Linked DNA regions of Macaca fascicularis. The protein of the gene in region 1 interacts with the protein of each later gene in a pairwise test. Links are inferred from orthologs where the notes say so. Each region holds a gene or a part of one and is shown on either strand. Other genes may lie near its edges.

Evidence for each region. The genes of interacting proteins can lie anywhere in the genome.
Region 2: the proteins of CBY2 (region 1) and CNNM3 interact in binary tests that used the Homo sapiens proteins (3 or more experiments, as listed by UniProt). The two-hybrid records come from large-scale screens. The link is inferred for Macaca fascicularis from reciprocal best matches to the Homo sapiens genes CBY2 and CNNM3.
Region 3: the proteins of CBY2 (region 1) and ARMC7 interact in binary tests that used the Homo sapiens proteins (3 or more experiments, as listed by UniProt). The two-hybrid records come from large-scale screens. The link is inferred for Macaca fascicularis from reciprocal best matches to the Homo sapiens genes CBY2 and ARMC7.

What each region holds. Positions count from the first base shown.
Region 1 is NC_088391.1:24,906,732-24,910,738, forward strand, and holds the start of CBY2 (protein chibby homolog 2), read left to right. Parts: upstream 1-1,205; 5' UTR 1,206-1,276; coding exon 1,277-1,351; intron 1,352-1,650; coding exon 1,651-1,731; intron 1,732-4,007.
Region 2 is NC_088387.1:1,835,678-1,839,779, forward strand, and holds the start of CNNM3 (metal transporter CNNM3), read left to right. Parts: upstream 1-1,299; 5' UTR 1,300-1,334; coding exon 1,335-2,559; intron 2,560-4,102. UniProt on the Homo sapiens protein: Probable metal transporter.
Region 3 is NC_088390.1:81,488,847-81,492,900, forward strand, and holds the start of ARMC7 (armadillo repeat-containing protein 7), read left to right. Parts: upstream 1-1,251; 5' UTR 1,252-1,544; coding exon 1,545-1,635; intron 1,636-1,718; coding exon 1,719-1,862; intron 1,863-4,054. UniProt on the Homo sapiens protein: As a component of the minor spliceosome, involved in the splicing of U12-type introns in pre-mRNAs.

The DNA of each region.
Region 1 (4,007 bases):
GTTGAGCCTCTGAACGCACTGGTCTAGGTGGCTACTCAGGATCAGTGCAGGGGGCCTGCACACCACTAGGGGCAACAGTACCTTGAACAGGCTGTTCGTCTCACCTGGGGTTCTAGTTTGTTATCAAGCAAAAGGGGCTCACTGCCCAATATGCTAGAAGCCAATACTGACACCAAGTTTTTGAAAAAAAGAAAAGCTTTATATTAAAAGTCACCTCTGAAGGAGGCAGGAGTCAAGCTCAAATTTGTCTCTCTGTGCTGGCATTAAAGCAGTATTTTTATTGGAAAAGGTTCAGGGGGTGGATTCTGAGATTAGCAGGTGATTGGTACAAGGAAAAGGGAGGTCTGGAAAGTCCTTGGGCATGCACAGTTATTTCTTCATGTTAACTCCTGAGTTGCATGTGCAAATTCAGGGGGAATTAGTACAAAACATGTGGTGGAAATTCAGGCTACGACATCAGCAAGCTTATTGTGTGCAAGCTCCAGTCAGCCATTTTGGTTCCAACCAATTTCCGCCAGGTTTTTCTAGATCTCACAAGTGGAGGGAGTTTCAGCAGCTTAAATTTCTTTTCTTATCTGCTATCCCGAAACTCAAAAATTTCTGTTAGTTACTGATTTCTTACTCTTTGGGACTTTCCATATCTCCCATTTCCATCTACCAATCACCTACTAATCTCGGAATCTACCCCCGGAAACTTTTCTAATAAAAATACTGCCTTAATGTCAGCACCGAGAGACCGGTTTGAGTTTGACTCTTGTCTCCTTGGGAGTTGACTTTGAATATACAAGTTTTTCTTTTTTAAAGAACGTAGTGTTTTAGTATTGGCTTCTATTGCATTGGGCAGTAAGCCCCTTCAGCTCTATCACACTAACTCCAGGTAGATAGCATCAGAATGAAATGGAATTGTAGGGCACACAGTTGATGTCAGAGAATTAAGGAATTGAGTAGTGTCAGAAAACACCTCAGACTATACTTTCTCGCTTGGTGTGGGAAGAGTTCAGTTGTGTTTCCTTCTTCTTGAGTGACCGAACTCCAAGAAGACGCCACTTCTGGAGAGAAACTAGGGGTCTCAACTTAGCCTGGCAGTGAGAATACAAATGGCAGCTGGGATGACCCAACAGGGGGCTAATGTTTGAGCTATTGTGTGTCACACTGACCCTGACCGGCCAAGTAGTCACAGCCCCCACAGGTTCTTCCTGCCTGTCAGATGCCTCATTCCCACCTGTGATGCTCAGACAGAAACCATGAGCCCTGAAAAACACCCTATTGTTTTGTGATGTCACCTCTGGAATGTTCTGAGTGTTTTGGTGACCAACTTCTGCATAGGACCTATACCTGGCAACTCACATTGGTATGGCTTTTTACTTGAGATAGAAATAATCATCTTAGGCAAGCAGGTACAGTTATCTCCGCGTCAAAGACTTTCAAAAGTCTTTTACATCAACTATAATATCTAGCTTAATATCTGTTCAGAGATTGATAAACCGTCTTGCCAGATATCGTCTACACATTCTTCCAGACTTTCATAATTGTACATAACTGACAAGAGGGAAATAAATGAGGAGAAAGTTCTATGTTTTTTAGGTGAGCAATTGAGGCCCAGAGGATGAGTTGGGAAGCAGCAATCTTCTTCTTTTCTCTTTTCCACAGCACTCAAGGCCAAATTTTACAAGAAAAAGAGATACCAGATCTGAAAGCCTAGAAATTCCAATCAATGTGGTTCTACCTCAGGTAGGGATAATCACAGAGGATGTAACCTATCGGTGTTAGCCAGAATAACCCCCTACCTCCTCCTTCAAAACTCTAGCAAGATGTTGTAGAATAAGCAGAGATAGGGCTTCAGGTTCTAGTTTGGGTTGGCTGCCAGCAGGCAGCGTGCTGGGGAAGGCCACATAGCCCCTGTGGGCCTTGGGTTCTTTTTCCCACGAATGAGGTGGTTGGGTCAGATGGTTTGGTAAGAACTTCCAGTCCTAACATTCCAAGTTTCTATGATACTCTGAAGTAACCCAACCTTCTCAAAACGAGACCTTTTGGTGCTTAGTGTTGTGCATTCACTTTGGATTTCTAGAGGAGAATTAGAACTGGGACTTGGAATCAAATGCATAAGAATGAATCCATGAGAAGAAAACCTCCTTCATGGACAGAGGGGTACAGAGTTATTTGGAGTTGTCAAGAGAATTAAGCCCTGCTATGCACCAAAGACAGATGTAGGGGCCATGGGCATAGATGCTTTTGTGGTCAATGAATTGGTGAAGTCCTCACAGGCTAGAGATTCTCAGGTCTCCTCCTGCCTGAAATCAGCTCTTTCCTTAGTGGAGTCTTCTTGATTGAATTGTGTCTACTGATGCTATGTCACAAAGGGGTGGCTTTGCTTTCTCCAGAGTCACCTAAGGCCTCATTGGAAGACCAGGGCCATGCAACCAGAGGGGTTGAAATGTAGGATGGAGGAATCCAAAGCAGAGGTAACTATCTGAGAGCTCTGTCCAGGGATGTGTAGGAGGAGGATTGACCACTGGTGAGCATTCCAGATATAATTGTAACAATCTAGGCAAGTATGTTCAGTGGGAGGCAAACATATGGAAGAAGAAAACATCCTGGATGTTTATTTTCACATTATCTTTATAACTTTGTAATGAACAGTCACTTTTCTATGACTTGAATCTTAGCTAGAATATAAGATAACTTCCCCCTGATCATTCGACAGGATAACAAGCTGTAGGAATCTTTTTGGGCCTGATTCTTTCCACCTGAAATATGCAGGGAGTTGTGTTGGCCACTGCTTCCCCAAGAGTGGGTGTTACTGCTGTGATGCCTCATGGCCCATATAAACCAATCTTTTCTTCCAGAATCCTGGGGCCTCTCAACTTTACATGCTTTGAAAGTACCTCAGATGGCTGAACGTTCTCTGATAGTAACCCTCAGTAATGTTGGCAAAGTTGGTGTTTAAGAAACTTGGTCAGGCAGAGGATGCCAACCTAGAGGTGGGTGTGAAGGAGGGGATAGGATTTGAAAGAGTAGTGGTCATGTGATAGAGAAATTGGAATGATGTTTCCATCAACACCTACCGTAACTTTCCCTCCCCAGCTCCCAGAAACAGCCCAGCAATCAAAGAGAAGAGAATGTGGTTTAAGACAGCTCAAGCTTGTCTTGGGGCTGCCTGATTACTGTTCTGGAGGACCTGGTGCTGCTGCTGGGGTCCTGTGGGGGCAGAGTGGGTGAAGAATGAGAGGATATCTCCTGTCTGGGCATGTGTACCTCTCACGGGAAGGTGTATACACCTGCCAAGAGGGCACAAGCCATGCACCAGGTTTTGGACACCTGTCAGGATGCTCAAGACTGGCACTCTGGGGACGGGTGTGGGTGTCTACAAGTAGATAATCTGAACCAAAATACCACCAGGGCTGCGAGAGGGACCAATGTGCTCACTCGGCCTCCCTAGATGAGATGGTGCATGGCTTAGGGGACAGGGTTGATCTGGGAAGCAAGGAGAGGAAGAAATATCGACTGAATGTTAGTGCGATCATGTGTTGAGCACGGTGCCAAGTAAGTGTGAGGTAGAGATTTTACAGGTACAGGAACTGGCAACCCCAGGAACCCCACTAGTAATGGCAGAGATGGAGGAAGGGGCTTGAACTCCAATCAGTGCCCATGTTCTCCGCTATACCAGGGCACATGCCACTAAGCTGGGCCACGCTGCATCTTAGCTCTGTGGTTCTTCTTTTGCTCTTTGGAGATGGAGTCTTCTCCCCGCATCTTAACCGCTCATCTCTGGGCTTCTTATTTTGTATTTGCCAAAAGCTACTCTATTCTGGGATGGAATCCACTTTCCATTTGTTTCAGAAAGGACTTGTGGCAGCAGCTCTGTCTCTAGAAAGTGCCTCTGCTTCCCAGCTCCCAGTCCTGCTGTGTGTTTAGGCTTCTCAATTACATTGCAAATGCCTGTGATCACTACTTGTTATCACCCTTAGGTCTTTTCAGGACGCATTGATTTCCCGTTTTTCTTCCTC
Region 2 (4,102 bases), on another chromosome or scaffold:
CTTTTAAAAAGTTTTTTACAAAGTCTTTTCCTTTGGCCATTCACCACCAGCTTACTTAATTTTTTTTTTTTTTTTTTTGCACATTACTTTCCACACAAGTTTTACTTTGTGGCCACAATGTGCATACTTTATTTGAATGTTACTTTCATGACATAGCAAATTGTTTCTATAGTTTTTATAAAGGTCATTTAAAATGACATGCGCAGTAAGTCAAAGTCTTCCTGTGCTAGGAAATTTGAAAAAACAAAAGTGTAGAGAAAAATACAAAAATTACTGAATCTGAACATCTACAGAGAAGTGTTAGCATCTGGTCTGTTTCCTTCCAATCACAGACAGATCATATCTAATGGGTAAAGAACCTTCCATACTGTCAACAGACCACACTGTCTTCTAAAATCAATTCACCAGTGCGGATCCTCTGGAATAGATCTTGTGAGTCCCGAGGTGGTACTTTCCTCCCAGCGGCGAGCTATGAGAAGTGGAATCACCAGAGGTAGTCATTCCGTAGACAGAACTGCCGCCTCCCTGCGTGGCTGCGATGCTGACCTGGGTGGCAGGCCGGGGGCGCCGGAACCCAGCACGCACACTAAGTCGGTCCGAGCTCCGCTCTGCTCCTGTAAGATACTAACAACCTGAGGTAGCTGTCCAGACTCAAGGCGGTAGTGATTTTGTGTGTCTGCGTGTTTATCGCGGGGTCCGCAGCGGGACCGCAGGGGCTGTGTCCGACGTCCCCAGACCTCCAGCAGGGTCCGGAGCGATGAACATCTTCCATCAACTTCACCTCCGGGCGCTCGGTCACTGGTTCTTACTTCAGCCCTCTTAGCACCGTAGGTCGGCGCGTCGAAAACCTTTCTGGCACCCGGTGGTCTTTCCTAAGAAAAAGGCACATCTCTCGCACATTTAACTCTCCGTCCGGTCTTTAACTTCAGGCGCGCCAGGACCCGAGGTTCTTCCGAGCGGCAGCTCCGCTCCAGAGCCGGGCACTTCCCAGAGCATTGGCGCGGCCTCCGGGCGCGGGGGACAGCCGGGCGCCGCGCGCGGGCCGAGGACAGCCGGGCTGGGGAGGCCCTGCCCGCCGCCCCGCGTTCTCCCGGCCACGGCCACCCCGCGCATCCGGAGCTGCCGCAGACCCGGCCGGGCCCAGAGCCCCACGCCCCCGGCCCGCCCCTAGCGGCCGCTTGTTTACTCCCCGGCGCAGCCTAGTCCGACCCTGGGGCCCGCCCCTGTCCACCGCCTATTGGCCGAGGAAGCGCGAAGACCGGCAACGATTGGCCCGGGGAGGCGCGGGGCGAGCGGGGTAGGCTGCGCGAGAGGCCGAGAGGGGGCGGCAGGCGATGGCGGCGGCGGCAGCGGCGGCGGGTGTGTTAGGCTGGTTGTTCGCCGCGCTCTGCCTGGGCAACGCCGCGGGGGACGCCGCGCCGGGCCCGCGAGTGCTGGGCTTCTGTCTGGAGGAGGATGGAGCGGCGGGCGCGGGGTGGGTACGCGGAGGGGCGGCGCGGGACACGCCGGACGCCACCTTCCTCCTGCGCCTCTTCGGCCCGGGCTTCGCCAACAGCTCTTGGTCCTGGGTGGCCCCCGAGGGGGCGGGCTGCCGGGAGGAGGCGGCCGCCCCCGCGGGCGAGTGGCGCGCGCTGCTGCGCTTGCGCCTGCGGACCGAGGCCGTGCGCCCGCACTCGGCGCTGCTGGCGGTGCGCGTGGAGCCGGGTGGCGGGGCGACCGAGGAGGCGGCGCCTCCCTGGGCTCTGGGCCTGGGGGCGGCCGGGCTGCTGGCGCTGGCAGCGTTGGCGCGCGGCCTGCAGCTGAGCGCGCTGGCGCTGGCGCCGGCGGAGGTGCAGGTGCTGCGCGAGAGCGGCTCGGAGGCGGAGCGTGCGGCGGCGCGGCGTTTGGAGCCCGCGCGGCGCTGGGCCGGCTGCGCCTTGGGCGCGCTGCTGCTGCTGGCCAGCCTGGCGCAGGCAGCGCTGGCGGTGCTGCTGTACCGCGCGGCCGGCCAGCGTGCGGTGCCTGCTGTGCTGGGCAGCGCGGGGCTCGTGTTCCTGGTGGGCGAGGTGGTGCCGGCCGCCGTGAGCGGTCGCTGGACGCTGGTGCTGGCGCCGCGCGCGCTCGGCCTCAGCCGCCTGGCCGTCCTGCTCACTCTGCCCGTGGCGCTGCCCGTGGGGCAGCTGCTGGAGCTGGCAGCGCGGCCCGGGCGGCTGCGGGAACGGGTGCTGGAGCTGGCGCGCGGCGGCGGCGACCCCTACAGCGATCTCAGCAAGGGCGTGCTGCGCTGCCGGACCGTGGAGGACGTGCTCACGCCCCTCGAAGACTGCTTCATGCTGGACGCCAGCACCGTGCTGGACTTCGGCGTCCTGGCCAGCATCATGCAGAGCGGCCACACGCGCATCCCCGTGTACGAGGAGGAGCGCTCCAACATCGTGGACATGCTCTACCTCAAGGACTTGGCCTTCGTGGATCCTGAAGACTGCACGCCGCTCAGCACCATCACTCGTTTCTACAACCATCCGCTCCACTTCGTCTTCAACGACACCAAGCTGGACGCTGTCCTGGAGGAGTTCAAGCGAGGTAACATCCCGGGCATGGTGCAGGGGACGCCTGTGCCAGTGCCCTCTCCCTGAAAAGGGATGGAGAGTTATGAAAGCCTTCAGGAAAGGGTCCCACCCCCGTGGCGTGCGGTGAGACTTCTAAGGTCCCTTTTCAAGACGGTATTGGCCTTGCAGGTTGGAATCACCTTTTGAAATACTTAAAGGCCATCCATCAGAGTGGGAGAAATCCTTTAGACAGCGAACACTTTAACCCCCGCGTCAGGATGGCACCCCTATACATATCCTATTTGCAGGGAGGGGTATGTCCGCTTGGCTCTAATCCCCCAGCTCTTCCCCTCTCCCAGAGCGTTTCTGTGTGCTTGTCTTTGTAGCAGGTCCAAATGTTTGGCTAGAAACTAGAAGAACACAGAGAAGAGGGTAGTCTCCAGGTATCTGGGACGTTGTGGCCCGCACACATGTAATATCAAATTGACTGAACGTGTGATGTTTCCTTCAGAGCGTTCTTAAGGTCTCTGGCTTTACTGCAGATAAGGGTATTTAGGTGTCAATCTCTTATCTGCAGTAAAGCCAGGGAAACTTACACTTTGCTTCCCCCAAAAGTAACTCCACGGATGCTGACTTAGTCTCCCTTTCTCTCGGCTCTGTCGCCCAGGCTGGAGTGCAGTGGCGCGTTCTCGGTTCACTGCAACCTTCGCCTCCCAGGTTCAAGCAATTCTCCTGCCTCAGCCTTCCGGGTAGCTGGGACTACAGGTGCACGCCACCATGCCCGGCTAATTTTTGTATTTTTAGTAGAGACGAGGTTTCACCACGTTGGCCAGGCTGGTCTTGAACTCCTAACCAGGTAATCCACTTGCCTCACTCTCCCAAAGTGCTGGGATTGCAGGCGTGAGCCACTGTACCTGGCCTTTTTTTTTTTTTTTTTTGCTTTTTAATCTCCTGTTCTTAAAAAATTTTATATAGAGACAGGGTGTCACTATTTTGCCCAGTCTGGTCTCAAACTCCTGGCCTCAAGTGATCCTCCCACCTTAGCCTCCCAAAGTGTTGGGATTACAGGCGTGAGCCACTGCACCCAGCCTAACCTACACTTTTCTATCTGTAAGGTTTCAAGTTCTCCCTTCACTCCACATTTTCATCCCTCCTTTCACTCTGTTTTATCTAAGCAGTTCGGAGATTGAAGGTAAAACCAATACTCCCCAGATATGAAGGTGTGGTTTCCTCTGTAGTCCTCCCCAGCGTCATCCTTAGGGGTGCTCCCCAGAGTTTGGTGCTCACACCTTGGCCAACAGCCATGCTTCTCACACCTGCACTCCTGTAGGGTGAGGGTGGGGGCACCCCAGGGTGGTGGATGGGCTTGACCCTAAAGGCTGTCTGCTGTGAGACGAAGAAGTGGCAAAGCCTCCTGGTATTTGTGGCAGGACGTCTCTGGCACTGTCTCACTGTCTGTGAGAGCCCCTGGCCTGTCGGTGCAGGAAGCCAGGCTTTGTGGTAATGATTGCTACTCCTGACTGAGCACTGCTATGTGCCAGGAGCTGATGGGCACTCTCTGTAATCTCGTCCCTTAT
Region 3 (4,054 bases), on another chromosome or scaffold:
GGTGACCAGTTCAACGTTGGACAGGAAAGTTGCTGGGCAGATGGCCATTCAAAAGTATGTTTTGTGCAAGGTTGGGGTTTTTGCAGAATCTTTGTGATAGTTTTCATTATCAGATATTTATGCATGAGAACCCTCTTGTCATGGTTTTCTCCGACTCTGTCCGGGTTTTTTTGTTCTGTTTTTTTTTTAACACAAGTGACTCCAATTAGATTAACAACTTTTGCATTCTCAGGACACTCACAGCCTAAGCCACCTCTCTACCCCTACGTTGTCAAACGCGATGGGAGTGTAGTAAGGCCACCTCCTTCCCTGGTGCTTTGTTCCCTGTAACCACGAGTAGTAATCCATCACACACCTGCTTCCCGAGAATCCTCGAGAAGGAATCGGCCGAAGGGCTTCAGCATCCAGAAAGCCCCGAAAGCGCCACAAACAAGGCTCTTCCTCGGGCTCCCCGGTGCTGCCCCGGGCGCGCGCCATCCACCCGGCTGACAAAAAGCACCAGGACATGACCCCGTCCCCTTTGATTTCTGTCCAGAGGTGGCGGACTCACCTCGGGGCTGGGATAGAGGACGGGTCGGGGTCGCTACGCTTTTTGCAAAAGGGTCAAAAGACTGATGGGGGTGGGTAAGGAGCTGACGCCCGCGCTCTAAAGGGGCGTCCTGGTCAAGGAGGCTGGGCCGCGCCCCGCCAGCCATGGGGATCCTGGAGGTGCTTCTGCCTCGACGTCCTCCCAACATGGGTGCTGCCAGACTCCGTTGCGCTCCTGAGTTGCTCCTCACGTCATTCCAGCCGCCCGACATGGGTGCCTCACTTTCGGCTTCTGGGCCACGTCGGGGCGGCGGAGGACCCGGGGGGCCGGGCGGGAGAGTGGGAAAGGTGGGGCGGGAAAGCCGAGAGAGGCCCTCACCCGCCTTCCTGTTGGCGGGGGCGGCAAGTGGGTTTCTTTCTTGCGTTCAGATTTTGCAATAATTTGCAGCTGGACATAGGATATGGGAGACAAGGCTGCTCCTCGCAGTACACCCACCCACGCCCATACCTCCCTCGGCGAAGCGTGTCGCAGCGGGTTCCAGCGCAGGCTAAAGAGCTTCCGCAGCCAGAAAACCGAAAGCGCGCCGCGCACGCGCGCCAAGGAGTTCGGCGACGGCCCCGCCCCTCGCCTGCCTCGTCCCGCCCCTTCCGCGCCTTGTAGGGTGGGGACAGCGCGGCTTCCGCCGGGAGCCTGGAACCGAGCCCGGCAGCCGGGGGCTGGGCGCCAGTACCCACTCCGCCAGCCCCAACCCGCAGACGGTTCCCTGTCTCCCGCGCCCCAATTTCGATTTTCAGACCCAACTCCTACAGGATTCTGAGACCCCGGCCCATCTCCCCACATTCCATTTCCAGCTGCAAATTACTGCAGAGTCTGAACCCAAGAAAGAAACCCATTTGCCGTCCCCGCGTCTTCCCTCGCCAGACAGGTGGAGAGTGGGTGAGGGTCTCGCTCGGCTTTCCCCCTGCACCTTTGCCACCCGCCCGCCCGTCCCTGGGGGTCCTCCGTCACGCCGGCCATGGCCCAGAAGCCGAAGTTGGACCCCCACGTCGGGCGTTTGGGATACCTGCAGGCGCTGGTCACGGAATTCCAGGAGACCCAGAGCCAAGGTGAGAGCCACGGTGGGACCAGGTGACAGGGTCGGCTGTGACCGCCGCCCGGACCTGGCTCCAGTGCCGCTTTCCCGTTGCAGACGCCAAGGAGCAAGTCCTCGCCAACCTCGCCAACTTCGCTTATGACCCCAGCAACTACGAGTATCTACGGCAGCTGCAGGTCCTGGATTTATTTCTCGATTCGCTGTCGGAGGAGAACGAGACCCTGGTTGAGTTTGCTATTGGTAAGGGCTGGGCCCGTTCGCTAGATGGCTAAATGGGCCGGGGTGAGATAAGTGAGTTACAAGTGAGTCCTTGGGGCCTGGCGTGGTGGCTCACACATGTAATCCCAGCACTTTGGGAAGCCGAGGCGGGGGGATCACCTGAGGTCAGGAGTTCGAGACCAGCCTGGCCAACATGGCAAAACCTCGTCTCTACTAAAAGTACAAAAATTAGCTGGGCATGGTGGCGAGTGCCTGTAATCCCAGCTAAGCGGGAGCAAAAATTAGCCGCACACAGTGGTGTGCACCTGTAGGCCCAGCTACTCTGGAGGCCGAAGCAGGAGGATTGCTTGAGTCCGGGAGGCAGAGGCCAAAGTGAGCTGAGACTGCGCCACTGCACTCCAGCCTGGGCGACGGAGTGAGACCATGTCTCAAAAAAAGATGTTTTAAAAAGAGCAGTTTTGTAGCCAGGCGCGGTGGCACACGCCTGTAATCCCAGCACTTTGGGAGCCCGAGGCAGGCGGATCACCTGAGATCAGGAGTTCGAGACCAGTCTGGCCAACATGATGAAACCCCGTCTCTAACTAAAAATACAAAAATTAGCCGGGCGTGGCGGGCGCCTGTAATCCCAGCTACTCGGGAGGCTGAGGCAGGAGAATCACTTGAACCCGGTAGGCAGAGGTTGCTGTGAGCCGAGGTGGCGCCACTGCACCCCAGCCTGGGCAACAGCGAGACTCCGTCTCAAAAAAAAAAACAACAACAATTTCAGGTGGGTGAGGTGGCTCACACCTGTAATGTCAGCACTTTGGGCGGCCGAAGCAGGCAGATCACTTGAGTCCTGGAGTTCAAGACCGGCCTGGCAAAAGCCCATCTCTGCTAAAAAAAAAAAAAAAAAAAATTAGTCTGGCGTGGTGTCCCAGCTACTCAGGAGGCTGAGGTGGGAGGATTGCTTGAGCCTGGGAGGACGAGGCTGCAGTGAGCTGGGATTGGGCCACTGTACTCCAGCCTGGGTGACAGAATGAGAATCTGTCTTAGAAACAAAAGTAACTCATATTTAGTGTTTTCATATCAGGAGAAGCAGAGATGGCTTGCAGTCTGTAACTTACGGCTTCTTTTGTAGTTATGATCTTAAGACCTATTGATTTATTCACTGGGCAGATATTTACTGGGCATGTACCGTATATGTAAACTACTGCTCTAAATGCTGGAGTATGGTGAACAGGTTAGGGAAAGTGTTTGTCCCTCAGGAGCTTACATTCTAGTAGGGGGGACAGGTGGTTAGCAAACAAAAAAGATGATGCTCAGCAGCAAATAAATGGGGTGATGAGAAACAGCAGTAGAAGGTGGTGGTTACTTCCGTTTTGGCCATCATGAGAAAGGCATTTTAGCAGGGACACAGCATGGGCAAAGGCCTTAAAACAGGAAGGAGCCAGAAGGAAGATGAATGTGGCAGGATCGTTATAGTGAAGTGGAGAATGGCACAAAAAGAGGATAGAGAGTTAAGCGGCACCAGAGCTTGCCGGAGCTTAGATCTAGGCCGTGGGAAATAGTTTGAAGCAGACAAAATTTTGAGAACAAACAAAAATCCCTGTTTCAAGCCATGCACAGTGCTCATCTGTAGCCCCAGATAGGAGGATCGCTTGAGCCCAGGAGTTTGAGGCTGTAGTGTGCTACGATTGCATGATTGCACCTGTAAATAGCCACCGCACTCCAGCCTGGGCAACACGCGTGTGATCACCTGGCTGAAGTCTTGTCAGGCTTCTCCACTGTAAAATTACTCTTTCTTTCCCCTCTTTACGTATTATGTATTATACCCATTGGAAGGAAGTCACTACATAAATTATCTTAAATCTTTTTCTTTTTTTTGAGATAGGGTCTCACTGTGTCACTTAGGCTGGAGTACAGTGGTGTGATCATAGTTCACCATAAATTTAAACTTCTGGGCTCTAGCAGTCTTCCTGCCTTAGCCTCCCGAGTAGCTGTGACTACAGGTGGACACCACCATGCCCGGCTTTTTTTTGTTTTTAATTTGTTTTCGAGAGGATCTCACTGTGTTGCCCAGACTGGTCTCGAACTCGGCTTTTTTTTTTTTTTTTTTTTTTTTTAATTTGTTGTCGACACACGGTCTCACCGTCTTGCCCAGACTGGTCTTGAACTCCTGGCCCCAAGAGATAAATCGCTTGTAACCCTAAACAGACCCTCATTTCATAACACTG